Astyanax mexicanus: one gene and its partners. The main gene of each other region encodes a partner of the protein of the gene in region 4 in a complex. Links are inferred from orthologs where the notes say so. Each region holds a gene or a part of one and is shown on either strand. Other genes may lie near its edges.

What was found.
Region 1: tubgcp6 (region 4) and nme7 share a complex: the UniProt entries of both Homo sapiens proteins name them as parts of the gamma-tubulin ring complex. The link is inferred for Astyanax mexicanus from reciprocal best matches to the Homo sapiens genes TUBGCP6 and NME7.
Region 2: the proteins of tubgcp6 (region 4) and mzt1 are in contact, whole or in part, in a crystal structure (PDB 6M33), measured with the Homo sapiens proteins. The link is inferred for Astyanax mexicanus from reciprocal best matches to the Homo sapiens genes TUBGCP6 and MZT1. Residues at the interface, in NP_065194.3 of Homo sapiens: Met1, Ala2, Ile4, Leu7, Phe8, Asp10, Leu11, Cys12, Ala14, Leu15, Pro17, Ala33, Leu37, Val40, Ala41, Ala44, Leu45, Asn48, Ile70, Leu73, Lys85, Arg88, Leu89, Leu92, Val93, Glu95, Leu96, Leu104, Leu105, Ser109; in NP_001065243.1 of Homo sapiens: Asn17, Ala20, Val21, Thr24, Val27, Leu28, Glu30, Ile31, Ser32, Ile34, Leu35, Asn36, Thr37, Leu39, Glu42, Thr43, Leu44, Ile46, Cys47, Arg49, Leu50, Cys51, Glu52, Gln53, Ile55, Asn56, Pro57, Glu58, Ala59, Leu60.
Region 3: the proteins of tubgcp6 (region 4) and tubgcp3 are in contact, whole or in part, in a cryo-EM structure (PDB 6X0U), measured with the Homo sapiens proteins. The link is inferred for Astyanax mexicanus from reciprocal best matches to the Homo sapiens genes TUBGCP6 and TUBGCP3. Residues at the interface, in NP_065194.3 of Homo sapiens: Pro65, Arg67, Asn68, Leu71, Met72, Ser74, Phe75, Asp76, Arg78, Asp87, Glu90, Asp151; in NP_006313.1 of Homo sapiens: Pro9, Asn10, Val11, Leu13, Gln14, Glu25, Ala26, Ala29, Gln30, Phe32, Gln33, Val36, Arg37, Ile39, Gly40, Ser41, Phe43, Thr129.

The regions. Positions count from the first base shown.
Region 1 is NC_064412.1:46,691,659-46,699,304, reverse strand, and holds the start of nme7 (nucleoside diphosphate kinase 7), read right to left. Parts: upstream 3,009-7,646; 5' UTR 2,879-3,008; intron 2,611-2,878; exon of another isoform or gene 2,517-2,610; intron 2,401-2,516; 5' UTR 2,283-2,400; coding exon 2,280-2,282; intron 1-2,279. Other genes in the region: zgc:172121 (homocysteine S-methyltransferase YbgG), read left to right, coding at 3,409-3,480, 5,435-5,502, 5,611-5,783, 6,641-6,744, 6,839-7,000. UniProt on the Homo sapiens protein: Possesses an intrinsic kinase activity. Displays 3'-5' exonuclease activity with a preference for single-stranded DNA. Does not seem to have nucleoside diphosphate kinase activity.
Region 2 is NC_064428.1:31,769,696-31,776,568, reverse strand, and holds mzt1 (mitotic-spindle organizing protein 1), read left to right. Parts: upstream 1-3,873; 5' UTR 3,874-4,146; coding exon 4,147-4,198; intron 4,199-5,486; coding exon 5,487-5,632; intron 5,633-6,002; coding exon 6,003-6,032; 3' UTR 6,033-6,466; downstream 6,467-6,873. Other genes in the region: bora (protein aurora borealis), read right to left, coding at 323-475. UniProt on the Homo sapiens protein: Required for the recruitment and the assembly of the gamma-tubulin ring complex (gTuRC) at the centrosome.
Region 3 is NC_064428.1:26,418,655-26,426,342, forward strand, and holds the start of tubgcp3 (gamma-tubulin complex component 3), read right to left. Parts: upstream 3,010-7,688; 5' UTR 2,851-3,009; coding exon 2,775-2,850; intron 90-2,774; coding exon 1-89. Other genes in the region: atp11a (phospholipid-transporting ATPase IH), read left to right, coding at 5,106-5,144. UniProt on the Homo sapiens protein: Component of the gamma-tubulin ring complex (gTuRC) which mediates microtubule nucleation.
Region 4 is NC_064409.1:46,359,646-46,367,059, reverse strand, and holds the start of tubgcp6 (gamma-tubulin complex component 6), read left to right. Parts: upstream 1-4,405; 5' UTR 4,406-4,612; intron 4,613-6,399; 5' UTR 6,400-6,437; coding exon 6,438-7,226; intron 7,227-7,414. UniProt on the Homo sapiens protein: Component of the gamma-tubulin ring complex (gTuRC) which mediates microtubule nucleation.

The DNA of each region.
Region 1 (7,646 bases), on a different chromosome or scaffold from region 4:
CTACAGATATTTGGCTGTCTGTGATTCTTCGGAAAATAGATATATATTTCTAATGAACACTTTCAACAATCACAGAAAAAAAGAGAAAAAAAGAATTAATATATCCATAACTGTCAACTACTACTGCACCTGGTATTAATACAAAACCACAAAGCTGATCAACCTGTAGCTGTGTTTATAATAGGGTATAGCTGACATCTAGTGGCAACCCATGAACAGTCCCACACTATTATCAGAGAACCCGAGCTGAGAAATAAGTGTATTACAGCCTTTTCTTTCATTGATAATACCATATAAAAAAAACATATAGCTGCTAGCATTCCTGCTAGTGAAATTTAATTAACACAAAATCAGAATAACCTAGACTGTTTATTTTTGGTTTAAGATGCTGCACGTCCTGTTTAAAAACCTTTATAACAAAAACTCTAGGAAGATTTTTCTTCTTCTTCTTCTTATTATTATTATTATTATTATTATTATTATTATTATTATTACTGTTGTTGTTCTTATTATTATTATTATTAATATTAACATTAACATTAACATTACATTAACATAACATTAACATTAATATTATTATTATTTGGATTTGTGTTCATGTTTTTTCTTTTTATCAACATAACAACATTTTTGTATTATGGAATTTGCAAATTGGTCAAACAAAGCTTTTGTTGAGCACTATTAGGATTAACGTAAGCCTACATTTATGGTCTCAAAATGAACCCAAAAAAGTCTAAAGGTTTGGAAAAAAAAAAGTCTAAAGGCTTTTCTTCCTGTACTAATTACAAGCATTATTCATTCATATACTGCATGTATAATTACTTATGTTAGCTTCTTATTATGTGGAATTATGATGGGGACTTTGTTATAATTAAATTGGAATTATAAGATTAATATTAATTCTGTAGATTTTAGTGGAGGTTTAGTTCACGTGGAAAAATGAATGAGCTGCATCTAGGCCTTTTTAATGTGTGAGCATTATTTACTTCACATAATGTTGGTTTACATGAATTATGTAAGTTAATATTCCTGATTTCTGATTTTAGCTCTACCTAGACCTTAAACAACTATTTATTAAATTAGATTAGATTAAATGTTGTCATTGTGAAGAGCACGGGTACAGAGCCAATGACATACAGTTAGCATCTAACCAGAAGTGTAATATACAGTGTTAGTTACATTAAGTGCCGTAGTAACCATAACAGGTGGTACGTAGTAACAATATATATGGAAAAAAATAAGAGACCACTTAAAAATTATGAGTTTCTTTAATTTTACCAAATTAATCACAAGTCATCAAATCAAGCTGAACTGCTTGAATTTCTGCACCAGGCGTGGCATAAAGTTATCCAAAAGCATTGTGTAAGACAGGTAAAGGAGAACATGTCAAGATGCATCGAACGGTAATTAAACATCAGGTTTATTCCACCAAATATTGATTTCTTAAAACCTTTATGAATATGAACTTGTTTTCTTTGCATTATTTGAAGTCTAAAAGCTCTGTATCATTTTTGTTATTTCAGCCATTTCTCATTTTCTGCAAATAAATGCTCTAAATGACAATATTTTTATTTGGAATTTGGGAGAAATGTTGTCTGTAGTTTATAAAATAAAACAACAATGTTCATTTTACTCAAACATTTACCTATTAATAGCAAAATCAAAGAAACTGATTCAGAAACTGAAGTGGTCTCTTATTTTTTCCAGAGCTGTACAGCTGCTAAAGAAATGCAGCATAGACTAGGAGCAGCAATGCAGAACAAGGGTTGAACTGTAAGAGCAGTGCAAGTAGACAGTAATACACAGAATTGAAAAATAACATATACAGTAGAATAATATTAAAGAACATTACTGTGCAGCATGAGTAACACTGTAATAGGTTTGGTAAAAATGAATAAAGTTCATAAACAGTAAGCTAGATTAACTACAGAAGGTGTAAATATGCAGATAAGTGGCAGTGCGAGTTTTTACAACAAACTTTTGTGCAGAAGTAATTTGATATTTATCAGAGCATTTAGTGCCAGTTATGGCAAATATATGGAGCAAACAGTAAAATTTCAGCGAGTTAGCCAAGCAGCTATTATAGCTAAGCTAACCTAGCCTAGCTAAGATAGCTAACAACAGTGCTACAGACAGGCGTGCGCTCTGGCAGCAGCTGCAGCTAGCCAGTGTTAGCGCTGATTATTAATCCACCCGGAAATAAAATTATAAACTCTTTAACTGCGATTAAAGTACCGAACATGCCATCCCAGCTCCCCTCCCGCAGTAATGTAATGTACCATTCTCGCAATCCAGGCTCTCCAGTATCCTCGGGCTGGGCTGGTTTAGGTGGTTTGTTGTTTGTTTAGCAGCTAAGGGCTAAAACTGCTTCTCCCACAGCGTGCCTATCAGCCTTGTCTCCTAGCAACAAAAACCCATACAAGAAATAAAAGTCCATTTATGTCAGTTAATAGTTGTATTTAAAATAATATATAATAATAATTAAATACGAAATAACAAAATAAATATATTTATACCAACAAACAGACACGTTTCCTTCTAGTTTGTATTACTAAGGTTATTCAGTAAATGTTACTACCTTACGAAAGTCTGCAACCCTAATGTATATTTCTTTAAATACTTAATTTGCAAGAACAGATAAGGTTATGTGTGATACATATATCATACATGTATCATACATTTTTTTTTGCAAATTAATTTTTTGGTAAAGCTGGCTAAATAAAACAAGAAACAGGAAATTTAGACGGGCTGAATGCTCAGAAAATCTGAATTATAGACAATATTTTTACATCTTAAATTATTATTAAGTACTTCAAATACTTTATTTATTTTAACATGCTACCACTGTCTACAGCACTCATTTACTAATTTAGTTTACCTCACTGAATCTATACAATAGTCAAACAAACACCAGCTGTGACTACATTTCTCTTAACGACTTAATTAACGACTTAATTTTAACGCAGTAAACTCAGATAGTATAATCTGCTTGTTAAAATTGGAAGTAATAAGTAGCTACACTAAAATCTGGTCGCGCATGCGGAGAGCCCCTAAGTAGCACATGTCGATGCGTAGCACAACTCGACAGAACACCGGAAGTAGCTCGTAGTATGACCGGCGCTCACACGTGGACTTTGTTATGATTAAAATGGGATTAAGATTAATATTTATTCTGCGGATTTTAGTACAGGTTTGGAGCAGAGGAGGACAGTATGAGCTGCAGTTACAGTAAGTGCTTAGTTAAGAGTGAGACTTTGATATTAATATATTTAATTAGTTATATTTTACTGTTATAATTATGAATATCATCCATATATTGTGTGTTTTATAGACTGACTGCGAGGAGAAGCAGAGTTTAAAATCTTAAACAGTTCGTATATCAAAACCCAGGCCGATCAGGAGACCAGCATGACCAGCAAGCCTCTGATACTGGACGGGGGTTTGGCTACAGAACTGGAGGAAAGAGGATTTTATCTACAGGTACTGAGAGCTTTAGAGAAGCAGACATAGAATAGGAGAATAGAACCAAAAAATACACCAGGGGTGTGTTACAGGGAACATATTAAGAAAAACAGGAAAAACAACAGAACATAGAAAATATGATACTGAATTATTTGATCACATTAACTATAATCAGTGTTCAGACCCGACAAAAACCTGGCAGAAAATTATTTTTATTTTATTATTTAAAGTGTTTATTTGACCATATTACCAACTGAACACTTTGCATATTCAGCTTTATTTTTGTATCATATTTGTAATTATTTTAAACCACAATTTAACAAGCTGGATCACTGACTTAAGGTACAAATGTGTTTATTATTTTTATACTGCTTGTTGCAAAAGAGATACATATTACAAGGTCACATTTGTCAAATAATGTTGTAGAGGTCTCAATCTTACATTCGTATACATATGAAATCTAAAGCATTAAACATCTGAAACCACTATCTGTTACCATAACAGTGTGCAGTATCACTACTAGGCCTGTCACTATAATTATTGACTATGATATAATACACAAACATAACCTCAATCATTTTTGCAGACCTCAAGATTATTCATTGGTCGCAATTAGTATAGCAAGCTCATTAATGTGAATGCTCTTGTATGTTGACTTTCTTTTTAAAAGTTTATTTCATTTTATTTAGGTTGTAGTATGTTAAGTATTTAGTATAGTTCAGATTGTATTTTTGACCTTGTAATATGTATCTCTTTTGCAACAAGCAGTATAAAAATAATAAACACATTTGTACCTTAAGTCAGTGATCCAGCTTGTTAAATTGTGGTTTAAAATAATTACAAATATGATACAAAAATAAAGCTGAATATGCAAAGTGTTTAGTTGGTAATATGGTCAAATAAACACTTTAAATAATAAAATAAAAATAATATTGCATAATTGCAGTTATTCTCACTTTTTATTTTTCATTTACAATAATACAGTTATATTGTATTATTTACAGTAATATTGAAGACATTAGGGCTATACAAGAACACATGCGGAATTATCTTGTTAAGAAAAAGTGTTAAACAAACCAGAATCTGTTTTTATCTGTTTTATACTTCTATTTTATTCTTCTAAGTAGCCAAATCACCATTTCAGTTGATCAGGTTAAGATCGGGGATTGTGGAAGCCAAATGTCTTTAATATTAATCCACAATGTAGAAAATAAATAAAAAAAGAAAAAAAGAAAAACATTGAATAAGGATACAGTGCCTTGCAAAAGTATTCGGCCCCCTTGAACTTTTCAAACTTTTGCCACATTACAGGCTTCAAACATAAAGATATGTAATTGTATTTTTTGCGAAGAATCAACAACAAATGGGACACAATCATGAAGTGGAACGAAATTTATTGGATATTTTTTCCTTTTTTTAGAAATAAAAAAACTGAAAAGTGGGGTGTGCAATATTATTCATTATTAAATATTTTTGTATCCAGATTCGGCTTTAAACTTCTCCACAACAGTATCTCGGACCTGGCTGGTGTGTTCCTCGGTCTTCATGATGCTCTTTGCCCTTTAAACAGAACTCTGAGACTATCACAGAGGTTTTATACGGAGACTTGATTACACACAGGTGGATTCTATTTATCATCAGTCATTTAGGTCAACATTGGATCATTCAGAGATCCTTACTGTAGTGAGTTTGCTGCACTGGAAGTAAAGGGGCCAAATAATATTGCACGCCCCATTTTAAAATATCCAATACATTTTGTTCCACTTCATGATTATGTCCCACTTGTTGTTGATTCTTAACAAAAAATAACAATTTCATATCTTATGTTTGAAGCCTGAAATGTGGCAAAACGTTAAACATTTCAAGGGGGCCGAATACTTTTGCATAGCACTGTAAAGGATTAGTATTTGATTATGATTCTGTGGGACTTATAAAGCATTATCTTTTTTTATTCTGGGACATGTTTCTGCAGGAGGATCCGTTATGGAGCGCTAAAGTCCTCTACACAGACCCACAGGCCATTAAAGATGTGCATTACAGGTAATTCCAGCATGTTTCATTCTTCCCTCATTGTGTCTGAATCTGCAGTCAGACTGTGAGGATGATGATGAGCTTGTTTCCTCTGTGTGTGTCTGTGTTTGCGCGCAGGTTTCTTCAGAGTGGATCTGATGTCATCACCACAGCTACGTACCAGGCCACTCTGGAGGGATTTTTCAAACACCTGAAGCTGAAACCTGAACAGGCTGAGGAGTTACTAATATCCGGAGTTCAGATCGCTAAAGACACTGCAGCGCTCTTTACCACTAACTGTACAGCAGCAGGTGTGTGTGTTAGCATAGCCGTTTAATTTAGATTCAGAATATTTTTCAGAGGCAGACAGACATTGTTAAAAAATCGTGAGGCTATCTGAGATCATTAAAAGACCAGTATGTATTATTTTTTGTAGCAACTGAAAAATTAGACTGGATGCATGATCGAGTAACATGCTAAGCTAATGCTAAGTTTAAGTTCTAGGATTATCTCCTTAGAACTGTTTGTTATTGGGTGGAATTAGGGTTGAGCGGTATTGAAGTTTTTCCACCATGTTTAAAAAACCGTGGTGTACCGAAATACCGTCATACCGCCAAACACAAGGTGGAATATTTCTGTCTTTTAGCCTCTGGCCCCACGCTCTGCCTACAAGACAGATACTGCTAATTCTCTTCAGAACAGAGTAGTGCTGAATTTCATCTAACATTAGCTGGGTAATTTGTCACAACCGCTAGTTCAGGGATGAGCATTTAAGATAATTTCAACATTTTCACAGCATTTATACTCAGTGCTCAGCTGAGTGCAGCTGGGTTATCAAGGCAGTCATGTATTTAAGGTAAACTGACGGGACACAGCTGTTAACTCAACAGAGACTAATGTACACAAAGATACAACAGAAACAAAAAATTGAATTTATATTGACTCAGTTTAGCTTTGAATATGATTATACTTGATCTCATCTTGCACTGATTTGCTTTCAACCCTGCAGTCTGTGGAGGAGAATTAGTGGCAGTCAACTCTCTCTAGTGTTTTAAAATTATACTGCATTAGATATTTGTATATGCTTGTTGTCATTTAATACATACTGTTCCTTTAATTTTGTAGATTATGTTCACTGACAACTTTTTATTCTGATAAACGTTCACAGACAGAGCAGTGCCACTGGTGGCTGGTTCTGTGGGTCCATACGGGGCGTTTTTGAACGATGGGTCAGAGTACACTGGAAACTATCAGAGCCAGATGAGTGTGGAGGTAAGCCTGAATAAATCACTTTGTTCATACAGGAGTTAATAGCTAGCTAATTACTCTCAGACCCGGCACAAACCCCATGCTCCTGTCACTGCAGGAGCTGAAGGACTGGCACCGCCCACAGGTCCGCTGCTTAGTGGCAGCAGAAGCCGACCTCATTGCCTTGGAGACCATACCCTGCCTTAAAGAGGTGGAAGCTTTAGTGGGGCTGCTGAGGGAGTTTCCTAATACTAAAGCCTGGATGTCCTTCTCCTGCAAGGTACCTAGGCCGTCTACACACTCAACTGCCAAAAGTAATGTGGCAGGAACTAGTATCGTGTCCCATGACTTTTGGCATGTTTCATGTTAGGTAAAGAGAACTGCACTGAGCTGTATGATATGTGGGTGGGGTCTCCTGCATTGAATGTGGATAAGGAATCTAAATTTCTCTCAGAGCCGCTAGTCTCTGTTCACACAGACAATTCTAGCCGGTGGATGGTAATATTAGCTTTCTATGATGTGCTTCTTTTACACACATGACACTGTGGATGGAGGTATGTTAATTCACCTGCACCCACTATCAGACCTCACTTCCAACTTCCATAATTCACCTGCACCCACTATCAGACCTTACACCAACTCCCACAATTCACCTGCACCCACTATCAGCCCTTACTCCAACTCCCATAATTCACCTGCACCCATAATTCACCTGCACCCACTATCAGCCCTCACTCCAACTCACATAATTCACCTGCACCCACTATCAGACCTTACACCAACTCCCACAATTCACCTGCACCCACTATCAGACCTCACTCCAACTCCCATAATTCACCTGCATCCACTATTAGACCTCACTCCAACTCCCATAATTCACCTGCACCCACTATCAGCCCTTACTCCAACTCCCATAATTCACCTGC
Region 2 (6,873 bases), on a different chromosome or scaffold from region 4:
TTACTTTTTTATGCTCATCATAACGTCATTTGCATTTAATAGTCTTAAAATTACAAAAATATTGTGAATCGCAATAATTTCTGGGACAATATATCGTCCACAAAAATTCTTATCTTGACAGGCCTACAGCATGGTCAAGATTGGTCCAACTGGTTGTTTAGCTTGTTTAAGACCAGTTACACCAGCTAAACTAATGCAAACAAACCCTGTACTGGTCAACAAGCTTAACCAGCTTGTCCGTCTTGTTTTTTCAGCAGGTTAGATACATTAACAATGGGGTTGAAGACAATGGCCTGGTAGGAAACCCGTTGTGGTTACTCACAGCTGACGAGGGCTTGGCGCACTTGAACACAGAAGGGCTGGGGACGAGGGGCTCGTGCAGGTGGTGGTAGTCAGTGGGACTCTCGAACGGATTACGGATGGACGGCCTTCCTGGAGTTTCAGGAGTGATCTGGACCTCAACAACATCTCCCATCCTCTGTGCTGAACGATCTTCACCTAATGCTGCAGAGGAAATCCTCAGGCTTTTAAAACATGAGGCAGGACAGCAAGAAACGAGGAGACAGTTAGATCAGGGAATGCTAATGGCTCACTTCACACGTTCATATTAGCTTATTAAATCAATGCAGAACCATTCATCAGTGATGATAAATAGTCCCATACTCTTAGAAAAAACATAAATACTCTAATTAAAATGTACTTAAAGATGCAATATGTAGTATTTTCCTATAGCTATGTTATATTATCTTTAACTAATGTGTTGCAGAGTGACAATATGTTTTATTAAGAAACAAAGATTTATTAAAAAAAAAAAAAAAAAACACAAACAATGTCATTATAAAAGATTGTCATTTATTGGTATATTGTTGAGTAATATTTATTTTTGCTGACAATCATTATTCTATAGGTATTTTGAGTTTAAAGGATATATGAAGAATGAATAAGTACAATTTACATGCAATATCTGCACAATTATACAAATAAAAATGTAATATATATATATATATATATATATATATATATATATATATATATATATATATATATATATATATATATATATATATATATATATTACTTTTTTTGTTATCAAAAAGTAAAATAACAGAATTTTAAAAAGTGTTTGTAAGCCCTTCATATTGGCTTTTGGTACTAAATTTTGGAGAAAAAAAACTGGTATGAACTTTATTATTTTTTATTTATTTTGTGTTGTAAAGAAGAAATTAGTTTTCATTCATTTATTCAATTTTTTTTTTAGTTTTTCCTTTTCTACTCCTCATAATCTAAATTTTAGGAAATTTAATTCAAGTATATATTTTTTCTGGATTTTTATATTCCCCCCATCTTGTAATAGAAGCAAGTTTGATTAGATCAGATTTTCTGTAACGAAATGCAAAAATGGAAAAAAAAAAAAAAAAAAAAAAAAAAAACATGAATAAAAATTGTTTCAACCTATTTTTCTTTAAATTCAGATTGCAGACATTAAAAAAAATAAGAAAACAAAAAAAGGATTTCAAAAAAAATATTTTCTATATTTAAAAAAACTTCGCACCAAATCAGAAAACTTAACTGTAACCCTTATACTGACAATAAGTAACATAAGAGAAAATAAGAAAAAAAAAAAAGAGATTTTATTTAATTTTAAATTTTGCGTAAAATTTTGTTTGGAAAAAAAAGTAGGCCGTAAATGGGACAAATTTAAAAACTAGGAAATAATACGAAAAGAAATAAAAAAGGACATAAGTACATTATTTATTCATTTATAATTTGTAACAATATAAATATAATTCTAGCAAAAATATACAGTAAAAAATAAATGTGTTGTTTAGCTTCCTTTTTCAAGCACAACAAATTCAGATTTTTACTTTAAAAAAAAAAAAGCTAATTTTAAACGTTACAGTCCCAAAATAAGTTAAGCAAAGTTTCTGGGTGTGCACGTCATTTTTAAAAATTAATAAGATATGGGTAAAAATAAATAATAAAAACAATCAATCAATCAATCAATCAATCAATCAATCAATAAATAAAAAAATATATATATATATATATATATATATATATATATATATATATATATATATATATATATATATATATATATATATATATATATATATTAGCATTCATAAGAAACTTATTTTCTTTAGTTTGGTCTAGTTTTTTCCCCTAGTCAGTTAGATTATTTAACTTACTTATTTAGGAAATTTCCTTTATAACACTGCAGCCCTTAGAGCTCAGCTCTGAGTAGTTAGTTAGTTAGTTAGTTAGTTATTTAGTTCGTTAGTTAGTTAATAAGTAAGTGAGTAAGTAAGTAGTACCAGTACAAGCGATTAAACTCCTGATTAAAAAACTCTAGCGCTTAATTCATCATTTATCTGCCTCATTCAGAACCGGATCAGTAAAGCGAGGTGTGAACTGCTGCTCTGTTAACCGGATTAAAGCGGATTTAACCCGAATAAACTCATAAAATCCTTAAAAACACAGAAAACACAGAACTCACCCTGACCTCCTCCTCGCTCCTGTTTCCTAGCCTGCTTTTGGTGTTCAAACGTTTGATTTAATTTTTGCTCAACGCACGCCAGCCAATCACAAGCGCGGGATTCTCACAGCGACCAATCAGAATCATTGCTCGGTGTGTGACGTCGTTTCCGCTTGCTCGCTTGCTCAAGTCCGCAGCTATGAGAGAGTCTGTATAGAGGAGAATACCCACTGCAGAAATGAATGGAAATATATGGAGCAACTGAGCAAAATTACAGTGTATTCATTTAAAGGAGTAATCTGGTGTAAAATGGACTTGGGTAGTGAAACATGATAATGAGTACAAACTTTTCTTGAATAGTCCTCACCTATTAGCCAAAGCAAAAAAAAAAAAAACAACAGGTTTACAATGCTAGTGATAGGGGCATAGAGTTTCTTATGAGAAATCACTATTTTTCAAGTCAAGTCCAGTCTAGCTTTTTTTGTCAATACTGCATATGTACAGGACATACAGAGAATTGAAATTACGTTACTCTTCTTCCAAAAGTTACAGCAAGTACAGCAAAATAATATTATAAATATAAAAGGATTAGACACACTAAATGTACAATACAACAATGTCACAGATAAGGACAGTAGGACAATAGTGATGGGGGATTAAAGAGAGAATGACAGTACCAGATTAAACAGAACTCGTACAAACATTAGTGCAAATATAGAGGTATAGAAGCTTAAGGCTGGTAAAGTGAATGAGTCCATACACTTCTTTAAATGCCACAGTCATAGGGGGAAACAGTGGGTATGGTAGTGCAGGTATAAGCAGTAGTGCAGGTATGGGGTGTGTGAGGTCCTATTAGTTCTTACTAAGTTTTTACACCATTAACAATGTCAAATTAGCTCCACACTTTATTGGTAGAATTCGTAGTTCCTGACATACGAGACATACGACAAACGAGGCACTGAGATCTATCTATCTGTCTGTCTGTCTGTCTATCTATCTATCTATCTATCTATCTATCTATCTATCTATCTATCTATCTATCTATCTATCTATCTATCTATCTATCAGTCTGTCTGTCTGTCTGTCTATCCATCTATCAGCTCCCCAAAACTAACACTAGCAGTAATGCTAGCGTCTTTCCAGCATAAAATCTGTTCCTGAAGACAAATGTAACCATATAGAAATGTTTTCTTTAGTGTTGTACCACAACTCTCTTAATACTTTCCAAAATTACAGAAATATCACAATAAAATAGTTAACTGCTATTTTTATTTAAGTTCTTAGCCCTTTAGCTTCATTCACTTCCATTTTTTGAGGTCTCACTCGCGGGCTTCCCCTAGCGGTCAGAACTCATTTACTGAATTTACTATTATATCTAACGGGTGAGATGGGAAGTGGGCCGTCTCGCTGTAAACCGGCTGTGGTGTTGAAGCTAGCTAACGCTACAGTAAATGAGAATAAACAGCTAACGAGCAGGTTTCTGCAGTTTATAGACTATTTTTATGAGTTTATTTAGACTAAATAAGAATTTAAGTATATAGTTAAAGGGTTAAAATTGAAACACGTCGGACAAACCCGGAATATAACGACAAATAGCGTGTAAATAGCTAAAGTTAAATAGTTTGTTGTTGCTGGTGCTAACGTTAGCTCGTTAGCTTATCGTTGTGATGGCCAGCGCTGCCAGTACCAACATGAACGCTGTGCGGGAAACGATGGACGGTGAGGAAACAGAGTTATTTAATCTATTTAACTACTGATTTTTTTTAATATTTTCTGTTTAATAATGTCCTTATATTAGTGAAATCCTATACAGAAGGCTTGCTAAGCTAATAGCGAAGCGAAGCTAACATAACCTGCATAGCTTACCCACCGCTCTATGTATCTGTCTGGCTGTAATGAGAGTGTTAAATGTGATTTATTATTGTTTTTATTTAACTGAAGTTTTTCTGTAATGTTGTTTGTTTTTTTCTCAAGCATAATATTTTCTGTTATTAGTCTAACATCTAAGCTATAGTGTTCACTTCATTACTAATTCATTAAAGGTTAATAGAAGCTTGTAGAAGTAACTGTTACACTAGGGCTGCAACTAACGTCTATTTTCATAGTCGACTAATCTGTCGATTTTTTCCCCCATTTGTTCGATTAGTCACGATTATTATTAATTTGGATTTCTTCATATTGTTTATTTATCAGTCACAATTATTTTTCAGTTTGGTCGATTAGTCATGATTATTATTGTATTTGATATGGTGGCTATTGTTTTTTTTTTTATTAGTCACGATTATTTTCTGATTGGTCAGTTAGTCACGATTATTATTTTTCTGTTAGCCAATTGGTCGCTGTTATGTTTTTTTTTTTTGTATCAGTCACAGTTATTTTCTGGTTGGTCGATTGGTCACAGTTATTATTATTATTTTTGATTGGTCAGATTATTCTCCATTTAGCCAGTTAGTCATAATTATTATTTTTCTATAAGTCGATTGGGCGTTTCTTTATTTGTTTATTTCAGTTAGGCTTCAGTTAATCACGATTATTATTATTTTCGATTGGTTGCCATTGTTTATTCATGAGTCACGATTAGTTTCCGTTTTGTCAATTAATCATGATTATTATATTTTAATGTATTAGTCAGTCTAATATATTGGATTAGTCATTTGGTTGCTATTATTTATTTATCAGTGACAATTATGTTCTGTTTGGTTGATTAGTCACGATTATAAGTTTTCTAGTTTTCAATTTCAAAGTTAATTGGTCTCTATTTTGAATTTTTTTGTTTTTATTTACCTATTTTTTTGTCACAAATATTTTCAGTTTGGTCAATTTTTTTTTTATTGGTTTCTATAATTTTTTTTATCAGTCATGCTTATTCTCAGTTTGGTTGATTAGTCACAATTATTAGTATCATAGAGAATTGTCTTGTGATATATCAAGTATTACAGCATCACAGTATTAGGATGTGATACTGTTTTTGTAGACAGTAACCTTGTTCTTTTTGTCTGTTTTTCAGTTCTGCTGGAGATCTCCAGGCTTCTGAATACAGGGCTGGATATGGAGTCCTTGTCCATATGTGTTCGTCTGTGTGAGCAAGGAATCAACCCTGAAGCCCTTTCATCAGTCATAAAGGAGCTACGCAGAGCCTCAGACACACTTAAGGTAACTTAAGGTGTAGTAACATAAGATAACAGAAACTGCCCACTCTGCCAAAATACCAATTGGTCTTATATAATGTTCTAATTTTCTGAGACACTGTTTTCTGGGTTCTCATTGGCTGTAAGCCATAATCATCAACAATAAAGGAAGTAAGCACTTAAAATAGATCACTCTGTGTTTAATACATCTATATAATATATGAGTTTCACATTTTGAACTGAATTACTGAAATAAAGTAACTTTCAATTTATATTCAAAATATACCACTTAATAAAAATGTGATGATCAGGTTTATAAAAATAAAAGGGATGAGATGTGCTCAGTCATTAATGAACTAACATTTCCCTATTATGTCTAACTTGATCTGTTCCAGGCCTCTGAAAACAGCACAAGTCAAGGATGACCTGCGTCTATAGTGTCTCCACTTCTAAACCCTGTAGTTGAAAAATCGTTTAGAATGAATTCTTCCAGAGACTGATTTATATTAAATGATGAACCTGAATGATGGTATTTAACCTGTTCTCTGTGCACATCGCTGGTTACATGCAGTGCTTTGGAATGGGAATTACTTTTTTGGTGGGTTTGTTTTTCCACATCAAGCCAAACTACCATTTCATCCTTGGTTTCAGTCATCCTTGCTTTTTTTATCCACTGTTCAAAATCTTCAGCTCCCTCCAGTTTCTGAGAAACTCAGTGTGATGGCCTTCCCCATGTGGACTTACAGTAATGAAGCTTTGTGAAGAAGAAGTGTTAATATTCATCTATTGTTTGTAAAAACTCATCTTTAATATAAATGTTTGTGTTTTTTCTTACAAATAAAACATGTAAATTATTGTATTCCACAATTATTTGGCTCTCTTATTTTTTTATCATCGCTGTCCAATAAAAAACACTTATCTCCAAAACAGCAGCTTTACAGGAGAGAGAAAAAAACCTTGTAAACTTTCAATGGAAGTCAATGTAAAAAGAGTTTATTTCAGGTTATTTTCTATTGGTTCGTTCATCAAGAAATTGTGGCACAGTGTGAGGGACAGTTTGTCTGTTCAAATTATGTAGTAAACTAAAAAATGAACAAAAATGGAGATAAGTGTTTTTCATAGGACAGCGAGGATATGATGTCATTTGCAGGGATCTGTGTTTGCAGCAAGTGTCCACTAGTGGGTGACAAAATACAGCAGAAGATAATGTACCACACTGTGTGGTAAATATGGTAAAGTTCAGTGGTTTTCAGTCCTAAACCTTGA
Region 3 (7,688 bases), on a different chromosome or scaffold from region 4:
AGAGACCAGGAACTCGTCCCGCTCGATGGTCGGGGCGTAATTACTTCCGATGACCCGCACAGCATACTGAAACTGGTACGCCACATCAGCTGGAAAAAAGAAGGTCAGAGAACTCAGTGACGCACGTGTTAAACATCCCAAAGGCACCTTTTTTCTGTCCCCAATAAAAGACAAATCAAACATAAAAAGGTATAAAGCTAGACGCCATGTCAAATAAGCAGACATACTGTAGCTAACGTAATCAATACTGCATCCAATGATGTTAAATTAAGGGCCATATATGGGGTCTATATTTATCCTACAGGCATTTATCTAATCGTTTTTACCTCATTTTCTGAGGAGGGTCATATTACTGAAGAGCTTTCAGAGCAGAAATCTCTTTACTGCTGACATACAATAGTCGATAATGCCAAATGTACTGTCCTGTATGGAAACTGACAACTTGTAATATAATTATGAAACTACCTTGAAAGCAATATGTGCCCAAAAAAACAAGGGAGTAGAAATAGTGAGTGTCCCACTTTTACTGTACCAGTACCAGTCTCTACTCTTCTACAACAGATGGGCCCAGAGCATCCCTTTCTATTGCCAGTGCTTTCCTTAAAAGTTCTCTGGACTGGTAGATGGAGTGCCATCAGTCCTGATTGGTCCACACAGTTCCTGTACTTCACAACTTAGGCTGCTTTCACATTTAACTTGTGTAAAAGCAAGTGTAAAAGGTGCTGCAAATCATGGTGTGGACCTTTAGACCAAAAAAGGTGGTGTTTGTATCAATTGGAACATGAGTTTGGTTAGTTAGTAGATGTTTTAGACTTTGTCAACCATTCAGCAACAGAAGAAGCAAAAGAACTGGTGCTGTGCCAAAATCCTCCGACTCCATCAGAACTGATTACACTGGCAATCACTGTATCTACTGTAACTGTACTTGCAAACAGAGATAAGTGATCTGAGGCTAATCAGTTACATTCATTCTGATGTGGGACGTGCAGGCAGGCGAAGGGACGCTGAATTCTAGCAAAAGGATCTGTAAAGGCATCTCGCCTAATTAAAACATTATACAATCAAATTGTAAAAATAGTAGGTGACGACAACGGTATGCAGCAAAGTTATTTATTTATTTAGTCTAGAACCAAAACAAAGCAGGCCAAATGTATGTACACATAAACCTTGATTCAAATTCTGGTCCAGATTCATACAACTTTTAACCAATAAATTTTCACGATTTTTTTCATGACTTTTCTATGCCTTCAAGACAAATTTTATTATGATCAAACGATTTTTAAAACATCACTGAATGCATAAACAATAAAACCAAAAACAAACTAAAACTATAATCAAATTTGGATTATAGTAGGCCTTAAATTAATCTGACGCACAACCTTTAATAGTAAAATGCATGTCAAATCCTAAGAGCACCATTGTGTAGGTCTAAATTACTTGATTTACCGATGTATTTGTTAGCTCAAAATAGATTTTCTCTGTTCATAAATGGAAACACAAAAATGTGTAGATCAAATTTCCCTGGCTGTTCCAAAAGGTCTGGGTGTTTTTATTTTTCCAAAACTTAACAGCTTAGTTCCTGCAGCTCATGCCTGGCTTTTGAGCATATCTAAATTAGTCTTGCATGCAAATGTTTCAGTACTTCCCAGTGTGCTGAAAATACCTTTACTCTTCAAATCTTCAAATTAATGGTTGGCATTAGATCTGCCATGAACATAATAATATTTTTGAATTGTTATACAATAAATGGACATGCCCTTAATAATATTAGATGATTGTGATATAAAAACAGTGAACAGTATTTTAGTAACGACCAATGCAGAAGGCGCAAAAAAGAGGATATATATTTTCCAATCTAAGATTAATTAACATTTTGTAGTCAGTGGCACTTATATGGTCTTAAAAAGACAATAATATAATTTATTGCAATATATCATCCCCACACACACAAAAAATCATCATGACAGGCCTAAATGGCATTATACTCCATTGCATCCTTTTCAAGTGACACTACTTGTTTTATATACGCCAGAATCTCTAGAGAGGTGATTCTCTGCTCAGGTAAAAAGTTCCTGTAGAACAGGTGACACTTATGAGCATCATATTCTATTGCCAATGCTTTTTAATTAAGATTATACAAGCTGTGGCATCCTGAGATGACTAGATGAGTCACTGATTAGAAGGTGTGTCTGCACTGAGCACTGTATTTTTTTTCTCCATCACTCCATTCAAAGCAATGCATGCATGCATGTCTAAATGGCAGCGTTTGACTCCTCATGTCAGTGTATCTTTACTGCTTCTCTGATTCAATCTGGCAACCTGGGCTAGCTTGGACAAGATAGGTTGCTAACTAACTAGCCAGGATAAGATGCTTGAGATATGGACCACAGCGGGTGAGAAACTAATTAGCTAACTAGAGAGAAAGATAGAAAGATAGCCAATATATGCTTTTAAACATTATAAACTTTTAACTATTACATTTAATATTAAATTTAAACTATTACAGAGACAGTAACCTAGCTAGCTAGTAGAGATTCTCTTCTCAGCTCTGTTCCCAGTTATCATTTGCAGTTTTCTCGTTTTCACAAAACTCTTAAAGCAAGACAGCGATAAACAGCTCATTAATGGTCAAAAATGGTCCAGCTGAAGAAAAACGACCACACACACACATTAAACACGAAGCAGTCGTGTGTTTTCAGACAGCTGTGCGGTGGTAAACGCTGGCTATAGAGGACCTTATTCAGGTTAGCTAGCTTAGCTCCGCTGCTCGTTACCTTCGCTCTTGCCTGTGATCCTGCAGCACAGGCTCTGCAGAAGCACATTGGGCGATTTCTGGTCCAGAGCCGCCATCCTGCCCGTTTTCTGGATGTCAGAGACGAAGCGCAGGGGTCCGGGGGGTCTACCTTAGTCCTGCCCGCTCTCCTTATTCCTCCAGCGGCTCGCCATTTTAACACAACCCGCCGAAAAGGCGGCCTCGGTTAGAAACGGAGCGGGAAAAAAATACACGGCGGAGTGAAAATACGGCCCACTGAGAAACAAGCGCTCATCGAGGGTTCCGAGCTTTTCGTTCCTACCGATAAAAGAACATCCAGACCACTGTGGGATAGGTTATAATGAATTAATCAAATAAATAAATACACACAGAAAGCATAAGTAAAGACACATAATGCATTTAGAAACTGAAAAAAACTGTTATGAAAAAATAAGATTTTTTTGCTAATGATACTGCTTATTATAATTGATGCTTATTATGGAGGTCCACAATATTTATTTTTATGAATTTCCAAATTTCCGTTTTTTAGAAGGGCAATATAACCCAATACATTAAATGGCTTATTCCGCGTCATTTTGTCAAGTTACTATTAAATTACAAGAATTACAAAAAATGAATAAAATAGATAGCTAGAAAGGTTTTAATGGACAGTGACAATACCTGTATCAGTCTGGTTTTTGTTTTGCCCAAAACTAAACTAAATATAAAACTAACTAAATATACAGAGTTTAATCACATTTATTTGCACGGTATTTTAGATGCTAGTAAAAAAGGTGAAGCATCTGTTTTCTACATTTTATGATTATTAAATCACATTGGCTTTAGTATTAGTATACTTCTATAGTGTATATGTACAGTAACAGTTTATGGTTTGAACACACCTTCTTATTTAGTGTAACTTTTTTCTTTTAATTTAATTTTAATAAAATTTACTTTCTAAATATTCTGGTTTGTTTAACACTTTTTGTTTATTAATAATAATGATAATAATAATAATAATAATAATAATAATAATAATAATACTAACAATAGTTCCCCATTCATGTAAAGCTTTAATGTCTTAATATTAAATTAACAGTAAAAAACTTTTGACCGCTACCGTATACTTATATCTGCATAACATATTTTTTATTGAATATGAGTTTAAATATTTAGTCTATATATTAAACTTGCGGCTCACACTGCACCATTCTGGAAATGCGTTGCATGATTTGCGGTATAACAGTTATGATACGTTTTTCTGTTTTAGCAACCTAGATAAACACATACATTGTACATTACATGTGTTACATGTGTACAATACATTGTACATTACATGTGTTACATGTGTACAATACATTGTGTTCACATTAAATCTTTTTCAGTGTTTATATTTATAGAACAATTAAAACATTAAATTGTATTAAAACTAGACTTATTTTTTTCGGCAAGTGATTTGTGTGAGATGCTCTAAAAGAACATTTAGAGTATTATATTATTATATTAAACATTAATCAAAAGTGATACGAAAAATACATGGGATGTTGGAACATTGCTTGATTGCAGTAAATTAGTTTATAATTAGTGGATTACATGCTCTGAAGCTCACTCCAACACCTATACTGGCCCAGCTACTGTACTGTATTATGGAGCTGCTTATAAATACAGCATCTTGCTAAGTTAGGGCGGGAAGGAGGGTGTGGGAGTGGCTGGGAATGCGCATGCGCCTCGAGCCCCCCGTGACGCTCCTGGAGAGAGGGCTGTGATTGGTTGTGCATGGAGGGCTAGTACTGGGGTGAGAGCATAGACTGTGTATGGGTGGGAAACAGAGAGAGAGAGAGAGAGAGAGGGAGGGAGGGAAAGATAGAGAGAGAGAGAAAAGGAGAGCGAGAAAGAGAGAGAGAGGGGGACAGGACTCGGCAGAGCCGCTGGAACGCAACACTTGTCCAGGAAGAAGTATCTAGCTAGCTTGCCTCCTTCAGCACTACTCGAGGAGGGCTGCTGGAAGACTCGGAGACTGAACGGCGGTCAGCGGGGCGGTGAGCGCACGGAGCCCCGAGACAACATGAGCAAGCCCGGACTCGCCGCTGCGCTCTCACCGCGACCTGGAGAGAAATAAAGCCCCGGTCAGAGCCGTGCAGCCCTGCTGCTGTCTCAGTATCAGTGTGTATCAGTCCCGGCGGACACAGCAGCAGAGACAGAAACAGAGACATGGAGCAGCAGAGGAAGATCAGCTAGCGATTCACACACCTCTCTATCAACACACACACTCACACACCGCGCACACACACACGCAGCCTGAAGAAGATCTGAGGAGCAACACGCAGGCGGTGGTGTTGACCGGCAGGAGAAGATGGATTTTAGCACCATTAGGAACCTCATCAGCAGATACGTGAGTAACGTTAACGTTACCTACTTAACCTAACCTCGTTAACCGTTACCTAGGTTAGTTAACCTGTTCAACTTGTTGGTCTGCCCCTTCTTTCTCTCCGTCTTTCTCTTTTCTCCTTTTTTCTCTCTTTATTCTAACGTTACTCTCCTGAATGTGAATGGAAGCAGGAGGACTGAAGGCTGAAGCTGCTGCTGCTGCCTGTTAATTAACTAACGTTAATAAATAAAGCCCTTTAAACCCCAACGTGGACACCATGTTTCTCCAGCTAAAAAACAGCAGCTAGCTAGTTAGTTTACTAATAAGTAAAGCCGTTTAAACCCCAGTGTGAGCACCATATTTCTCTAGCTAAAAACAGCAGCTAGCTAGGTTATCGTTAACTAACCTAATTGATATACACACAGCACACAGCTAATTAATGTATATCCATAGCTTTAGTAACAAATTGAGACAGTCATATGCCAGGGTTTATTATGTAAATACTAGAGAGAGAAAAATAATAAAGACAGTGGTAGTAGTAGTAGTAGTAGTGTAGTGGGCTACTACTGTAGGTTATATATTAGCAGCTGTATGTAGCTAGGTAACCAAGGTAACCCAGGTCAGGTGGCTAATGTGTTTTAGCTAGGTTATCTAGTTAGCTAATTAGCTAAGTATGGCTGGACGTTATTGCCAAAATTGATATCATGATAAAATGTTAACTAGCTACAGTTTCCGTTATAAAGAATATAATCAAGAGGAAGAGGGATGATCACAAGCCATCAATCCAAGCTGAACTGCTTGAATTTTTGCACCAGGGGTGACATAAAGTTATCCAAAAGCAGTGTGTAAGACTGGTGGAGGAGAACATGCCAAGATGCATGAAAAAAAAACAGAATTATTCCACTAAATGTTGATTTCTGAACTCTTAAAACTTTATGAATATGAACTCTTTTTATTTTATTTTTTGCATTATTTGAGGTCTAAAATCTCTGCATCATTTTTGTTATTTCAGCCACTTTTCACTTTCTGCACATAAACACTCTAAATGACAATATTTTTATTTGAAATTTGGGAAAAATGTTGTCAGTAGTTTATAGAATAAAACAACAACAAACAAATACCTATAAATAGCAAAATCAGAGAAACTGATTTAGAAACTGAAGAGGTCTCTTGATTTTTTTTCCAGAGCTGTAGGTTAGGTGACTAATGTGTATTAGCTAGGTTATCTAGTTAGCTAGTTAGCTAAGTATGGCTGGAAGATTTTGCCAACATTCATATCATGATATAACATTCTAGCTAAGTACATTAATTGTTTTTCTTTATTAAAAAAAAATGGTCTGCATTGTAGTAAAATATACTACATTTTTACTACTATTTAGAAAAACATATAAAGTGATTTAGAGTATCTGAGTAATGTTCTAATTCATATTATGGCAAGTACAGAAAAGAACTTTAAAAGTATTCTCGAGTGCAGTTGCAAAGACCATCAAAAATCAACAATCATCAGGACCGCCCCAAAAAAAGAGTCATGACTTCATTTATATGAAAACTATGCATCCCATGAAAAAGCTCTGAAAATTAAAAAGTGATGATTTGTCACGCTGTGACAATTTGGCAGAAATGTAATAAGAAGATGTGAGAAGAAAACGAAGGAGAAGAATGTCAGTTGAATAATAATATACTGTAGTTTGCAAAAGTCCTGGGAGATAAGCCCATAAAATAATATCACAATATGTCGGGGTATTTCTGTGATCACAGTATTCTTGGCAATGTGACAAAAAAGTGTCAATATAATAGTTTTAACCATTTAACCAGAAATTATTTTTTTATTTACTATGTTTTTTTGGCATGGCTAATGAACGGAACCCACAAATCTGTTCTGATAGGAACACCTTTTGAAAGAATGTGAGAAGAAGCGTTAGAATATTTTAAGTTGCTGTAGAAAAGCAGCTTTTTTAAGGCAGGTGACTAGCTTATTTATTAGCTTATTAGCTCAATAGCTTATTTCTCCAGAGTACTGATAGGTATTCTGGGTAGGTCAGTGTGTTTGTAGGGTGTAGTGTGTGTGTAATTATAGCTAAGGCTATAGCACTGAGCTAATGACAGTCTTTCCAGTATTTTTTGAGGTGACTTGGAAAGAACAAGAAAAATGTGCTTAGTCACAATAACTTCATTTTTTTTAAAGCATATATTGTCCTAGAAATAATTGTGAATATTATTATTATTACTGATATGGTGATAACATTATGGCACAATAAAACAATTACACATTTTTAAAGGGCAATAATGTTTTACTAATAATAGTTGATGATTAACTAATATTCAGGAGATCTGTCTCTATGTAGGCTCTGTTATTGATATATGTATTGGTCATTGCACGACTGGCTATAATATTGGTAAAACAGTTTATTTGTATTTAAACAACCATGCAGGTGAACACAATGAAATATATCAAGGCCAGTAAAAATGATTGAAGTCATATCTGTTTAATTGTATGATAAGCTGATAAGGTAATTATAGTGACTGGACTACTCAAATAAAGCTAACATTTATTACATTCACTTAGGC
Region 4 (7,414 bases):
CACAGGAAATACTTTCAACACCAGAATAATTACATTCTATTAATTACAATCCCTTGTGTCACATTGTTAGACAGACATCTGATGTCTAAAAATCGAGTGTAAGATCTGATATTTTTATTCTTGTCTGTTATTGAGAGTGTGAGAGTCTCACAGTTAAAAGTCCTTAAAATAACTTGCTGGTAAAGGAGAAATCCAGTGTGAAATGGACTTGGGGTGTCGTAAAACATTATAATAAGTACAAACTTTTGTCGAATAGCCAAACTTTGTTCACCCCAACATTCTGAAATACAGCGCTTTTAGCCGATGCTCCCAACAGGCTTTCAATACTAGAGATTGGGGCATAATATTTAGCTTTAGCTTTCTTGGGAACATTCTGAGGATCCTGACATTTAAAACGAGGCACTGAGAACTTTAATAAGTGCCCATCTTAAAATTACGTCATTGACGAGTCCAAACATATAGGTTAATAATGTAGAAATATTTTCAGCAAAAATTGGAATTCATAAAGTTCCATGGCTTATCGACTTATCGTGACTTAATTTCAAGATGGTGATGTCTGAAGGAGGAACTACCTCAAGGTACTGTGTGTATAAACTGTGTTTTTTAATAACCTGTTTTAATAAATCTGTGCACTTTCAAAGTTCTCACTGCCTCGTTCTAAATGTTAGGGTCCTCAGAATTATACAAATACATTTTGGAGCTACTTTGAGCTTATAAATGGTGTAAAAATAGCCATTTCTTTGCATGGACAATGCCCCTATCTCTAGCATTGGAAACCTGTTGGGAGCATCTGCTAAAAGCGCTGTATTTTGGAATGCATGAACAGAGATGGGCTATTTAAAACAAAAGTTTGTATTCATTATCATGTTTCACTACACACCAAGTCCATTAAAGGGTTAAACACTACAGAAAGCATGAGCAAGAGAGGTCCCCTCTGCAGGACATGAGGGCTCAATTTAACCAAAGGAACAAATCTACACCAAAACAAATGCAAGACCATTTAAAGAAATCTTTGCTGTTATGCTAAAAAAATGGCAACTATACAGGAGAAGGAAGAAGACTAACTGAACTTCAATTAAAAAAAAATATTCCAGCTCATTTTGGAGCATTTCTGTTGGTCCATTCATTGTGACATATTGACATGGTGTGAAAAATAAAACTGCCAAAAAAAGTTTTTTTTTTTTTTTTTTGCAATACAGCTATGACATTAATCTTCAGCCTCATACTTCACACAGACTAATGAGCCTGGGTCTTTTTTTACTTATATTCCTTACAAGGAGCACACACACACTGCAAATATATACGCACATGTACACACATCTCCACAAGGAGCAACACAGACCTTAATTAAACTAGAAAACCAGAAAAAGCAACTTGACAGTTGTCATGATTAATATTGCATTGGTTGACCACAAACAGATGCTGTGGGTGTGTGTTAGCAACACGCCAGTGCCTCTCATCGGTGTGCGATTGTGTTTGAAGCCAAATTTTACAGAAACTAGCTTCACTCTAACAGTCCCATTTACCTCCATCTCTCTTTCTCTTCACATATACATTGATATGCCACATCAGGTATTAGTATTCTGTCCATTGACTTTTGCTATATCCCAGGAAATGTGTGTTCTACTGTGGATTTTACTTGTCAGTTCATACGGATAGTTCTAGCCAGTGATTCATTACTACTAAATGCACTGTTCACTGTGGTTGGCCTTCTATGATGTATTGCGAGCGGTATACACAACACTGTGGATTAAAGAACGTTAAATGTCTTCACATCTTCATAAATGAAATGTCCCACCCCTTTTGCACCCACTATCAGACCTCGCTCCACCTCCAATAATGAGCACACTCCATGAGCACACTGGTAAATATTCAACTTAATACATAAGATAGCACCTCACAGCATATATAGGTGTGGCTCTTGCCAAGCCGTGCACTGAGGTTATATTTCATGATCAGTTTGCATACTGCTGTTATTCTATGACATTTGGCATGTCAGTGTATTTCTCTGTCTCTATCACAGCATGTGAGTCATGCTGGCAGAGAAGCTAATCTAGCTAAACCATTATACCCAAATAAAAACTTGTAATTTGGAGAGAAAAAGAAAAAAATAGAACAGTTTGAGTTTTTCTTTAGTGAATCTTGGAGTGAATTATAAACACATATATTGAAATGCTTGAAAGTCAAGGAATTAACTGATTATTCAGTAACTTTAGTTTACGATATTTGCTAGCTTCAGTTGTCTCCAGTGCTAACCAATATGTGTTTAGGTTTTATATAAGGAGCTTTATCCAGTTATCAAGGATAACACATTGTCAACACTTTAACCCTAACCTTAATATCTTCAAAAATCTATGGATAGAGCAGTGCAACAAGATCTCAAAATAGCTAAAATCCCCCAAGCAATAAATAAAAATCATGCTGCCTCCAAAAATGTCTAAATGCTATGTTACTTGCCAAACAGAGTGTAACTAAACGATCGTGTAGAGTGCCCAGACTTTTCAGCTTCTTTGCCATTTCCTTTTTTTTTATTGCAAGCTGTAAAAATCGTGGGTTCATCTAATCTAGGGTGGTTTGTAACTTATGAATTTAATACATCTTGAAAGGATATCTGTTTCTGAGCTAAATCTTAAGCGAATGCGGGTCCTGCAACAAGACAATGACCCAAAGCCAGAGGTCTTAAGTCGCAGGAGTCAACCGCATATCAATAACGGCTCTCTGATGTTCTCTTGCAGAGAACAGGTCATTCAGTTTTTAGTGTGGTACCTCTCAGAAATAATTTTTTTGCAACTTGGGATGTCTGCAAAGCACACAAATCGTTCATACAAAGAATGAAAACAGAAGAATACAGCTCATGTTTTGGAATGGTCAACATCCTGACCTTAATCCAATAAAAAGATGACCTAAAGTAAGCAATTAATTGGTTAAGGAAATGGACGAAAAACTCTTCAAAGGAAACACAAATATTTAGTTAGTAGTTATTGCTGCACATATAGTTTCACAATAGCGATCAAACTAGAGCTTAGATCAGGTCCAAAAAAATCCAGCCCTACCTGGCCCGAGCCCATTCTGCCCGAGCACAACCTGACCCACCCCATAAACTGTTATTATGTGCCCAAGCACATAAGGCTGTTTTAATAAGCGAAATCTGTTCATAATGTTATTTAATTATTTAATTTCAACACTGAAGAATCATAGACCTATTATTTAAGAAAAATGTTTGTTAAGAACCGATCTTCGAAAGATTAAAACTGAAAAATGATCCACAGGCCTAAACATTGGTAAATTGGGCTACAAGGATGATGTCTGAATGATTTCCCTTTAATCTAATATATTTTAACATGGTTTAAGAATTTTAAATACTTTCTAAACAAATTTACTTTTTGGTAATTTACTGGGTAATTCCGCGCTGTTGGGTCAGAGAAAAATATGAGAAAATATGCTGTAAAAATACGGCCGGAGTTCGCTGTTGTTGCACAGAAAATAGTCCCCTCCCAATCTCTAAGCTAATGCTAAACAAAAGGCAACATGCGCTGTGTGACATCAGAGTTTTCAGAAAGCTCAGTTTTCCCTGTCCACAAGGCTCCGCCTTGAAAGGCGTCTTTAAGTGCTCCGTTTTCAGTGACTGAAGTCGCCGTTTTTGTGTGGACGGAAGGCCAAAACAGAGAGAGAAACCAATATCCAGCTTCGTGTGAACGGGCCCAAAGTGCGAAATTCAAAAAAGCAATAAGGCTACGCACTGCACAATCATTACACCGAAATAGACCAAGAACAATAACATAATTTACAATGACTTTCCTCTACTTTAATATAATTAGGTTCGGCTCGGGCTCGGGCAGATAGATAATCTAAATTCTACATCAACCCAGCTGAAAAGGAGGAAAATGATTTAACTTTTGTTTGTTACATAAAAATATATATTACATAAATATATGTAACACTGGATCATTTTCCTCAAAAATTAAATGAGCATGTATACTAATTTGTTCTACTTTTAGGACTTCGTAGGAAATCTATGGAAGTTTTGAATTTATCGGTAAGAAATACAGAATTTGCTAAAGGTTTCACAAACAAGCCACACTGTAAATAGAAGAAATAAATAATGATAACATTGATTAAAATATCTATGTTTAGGAACGTTTAGTCTTTGGCATTAATGCTCTGACTTTTGGATGCTACTGACTAACCTGCAGTAACAGTATTTTCAGAGTTATTAGCAGTGCTGGTTTAGCAGTGCAGAGAGTTACTGGTAATTCCTGAATCATCCGCAAGTTGGCGCGCTTTTAAACCGGAAGTGTTCACTACCAGCTTAACTGTCTTATCCAATCGCAGCTCAACACAGAGAATTTCACCCAATCATGCCCCAGGGAGGGAGGGGCTTTGAAAAGTCGCGCGGTCGCTGAGTGGAAATGACAGGAAATAACAGCAGTAGTGGTGTTTACAGTGTGAATGAGAGTAGAGACGCGGTTCTGGAGCTTTTCTGCTGTAGCGGCGGGCTGTACTGAGACCTGCCGCCGCTGCAGCTCCGCGGTCGGGGCTCATGGAGCCGCTGTGAGCCGGACTGGAGCGACAGACCTGCAGCTGCTGCCCAGAGGAAGCGCGGAGAGCCCGGGTGAGAACCGAGAGCAGAGCCGCCAATGTCCTCCTACTGCTGGAGCTCAGAGTAGATAAACCTCCGCGTTTAACAATCTGAACAGAACCTGCTTCACTCAGACAGAGCCGGAGAACTATATAACAATAATAACACCATAACACACTCACTCACACATACAGCTGAATTATAACACTCTATAAACCAGCTCTTCTGAGAGGCCAAGTGACCCGCTAACATCACTAGGTTAGGTTGGCTAGCTAGTTAACGGTTGTTCATCTTGTTAAATCTTGGAGAAATATAGTTAACTAGCTATAAGCAAATGTTTAATAACCTCCCTCATTCCTGATGTATTCTTTATATTCACTAATAGAGGCAGAGTATGTATGTTATATAAACTACACTGTCTGTGGCTGTGTTTCATCTATTTTGGCTCTGTAAACAAAATATTTGTAGCATTATCTTGAATTAATGTATATTTATTTAAAATATTGCCAATATTATTATGCCATTATCCATGCTTTAATAGTTATAACCTTATCAAGTGATGCTCATACAACATGTGAATAAAGTAAAGTTATGAATGTAGAATAAAGCTCTGGGAAAGACATGATTTAAAAAATATATAACAGTGCCATTGTTTGCATGTTTAGTAATAAAATATTTATTGTTTTCATATACAAAATGACAGTATTTGTCAGTATTATATTATCACACCCACCCAACCACCACACACATATCTATATATAAGCATATAGTCCAATACTTCAATACCAGTCCTTATCGATCATGACTCATCTGCATAAGTCTTCAGTTCTGTTCAACCATATTCTTATCAGGGGGTGTATTGAAAAGAACATGGTACAATATTTACCTGTAAACTAATAATGCAGGGTTCTTTCACACTTTTCTTTTTTGGTCTGGACTTTCAAGCATTCACTTTGGACCAAAGTAGCAGGTGTGAAAAAGGCAGCAAGCCACAGTCTGGAACAAACAACCAGAGGTGTTCTCCGTCCAGATCTTCTGAACCATGGTCCGGTTCACCTCCAGTGTGAAAACATGTTTCTAGATAGTTCTGACTTTCTGACCAATTGCAGGTAGTTGAGGCCATCTTTAAACAAAACAAACGAAAAAAGAATCGTGTGTGTGCCAAAATCCGACCCTGCCTGGTGTGCAGGTACATCATGCAGCATTATAGACAAGAATGCTTAGACTGGCAATTAATTTATTTACTGTAACAGTAGATTATCCCTTATTTATAATCAGGAATAAAAGAAATCTGAGGATAATATAGTCTTTTACACTCAATTTGCTTGTCAAACTCATAATTTACATAATGTTCTACAAACCAAATAATATTAAGCGTAGAGAGACTCATGTTCACATAGCTGATAACAACAGGATGTAGTTTTTTAGTCTGCTCGCCAAACTGCAGTGTGAAACCAAAACCTTGATGAACCGTTCCAGACTTTAAGGTGTCAAAACACCCTAAGAATCAATACTGTTTTTGAAAATTGCTACTGTATTGCAATACACTATCTCAATACTTATAATAATATATTTAACAATTAATCTATGAACTCTAGCTGAAGACAATTTTAAACAAACTGTATTCAAAAGGAAGTGCATAAAGAATAAGCCAACATTAAACAAAACACTTTTAGCAGTTGTCATTCCTGCTAACCAAAATGTATGTACTTATTTTGACATAGGCAAAGTAGAACTAGCCAGTAAAATATGCAAAGATTTTTTTTTTTAAATTGAGGCTTGTAATCATAATGTATCTGTGCTTGTGTTTTCTCTTGCAGGGCAGATGATCCACTGATCTTAGTGCCAGTACCTCACCATGTACTGCTGCCAGAGTTCTACTGAAATGTCCACTTGTTCCAGCAGCAGCATTACAGAGCTCCTAGGGGCACTGTGTGATTGCAGCCTGTCTGGAGTATCATGGAAGCGCCACTCTATGGGCAGCGTCTCGAGGGAGGCGTTCCGCCGCACCCTCCGTAAAAGAGCCTACGGGGCACTGCTGTCCAAACTCTTCCAGGATGGCTCTTCCAAATCCAGCCTGACAGCAAACGCTTTGGCCAGCACTCCCGCCTACAACAAGATGCTGATGATCTCTTTCGACCTGCGTGTCTCTGGCCACACTGAGGAAGCGGAGAGGCTTGAGGGCCTCCTGGCGCAGCTCCGTGAAGTGGCCCTCTCGTCTGGCCTGTCCGAGGTGGACTCAGTCCTGGAGTTCCTGGTGCAGTTAGCCGGTTCAGTTCCTCCTCCAGCACTATCCTTCAGCAGAGACTACATGCGGCGGGACCGGCCGGTGCTCCGCAGACCACCGCTGGGGGGTTATCTCAGTCAGGAGATGCAGAAACTGGAGAGCAGGGCGTGGGCTCTGGTGTGTGAGGAGGAGTGGGGGGCATTTGGGGGTATGTGTAGGACCCTAAGCCTAATGGATGCTCTACCTGGAACCGGTCTTCCAGGCCTGGGCAGGAGAGTGGAGGTGGAGGAGAGATTTGAGAGGGACACCAGGCTGTCCTTGTTTGGAGCCCTGCAGCACTTCAGAACAGCAGATCTAGACATCCGGCTGGACCTGCCACCGGTGCCCAGCAACGCAGAGGTCACTGGCCTCACTATTCGGGTATGTAAACAGAAGCTTAATATAGAGAGAGAAAGAAATACAAGAGAGCAGGTAAAACTAAAAACAAAGAATTAGCTTTTAAATTCATACAGAGCTTATAAAATTAATTGCCACATTGTGACAGACTATTTTTTTCTTTATTTGGCTTATTACCTTTTAACAGACCAGTGATGGATTTATCTGTTTTC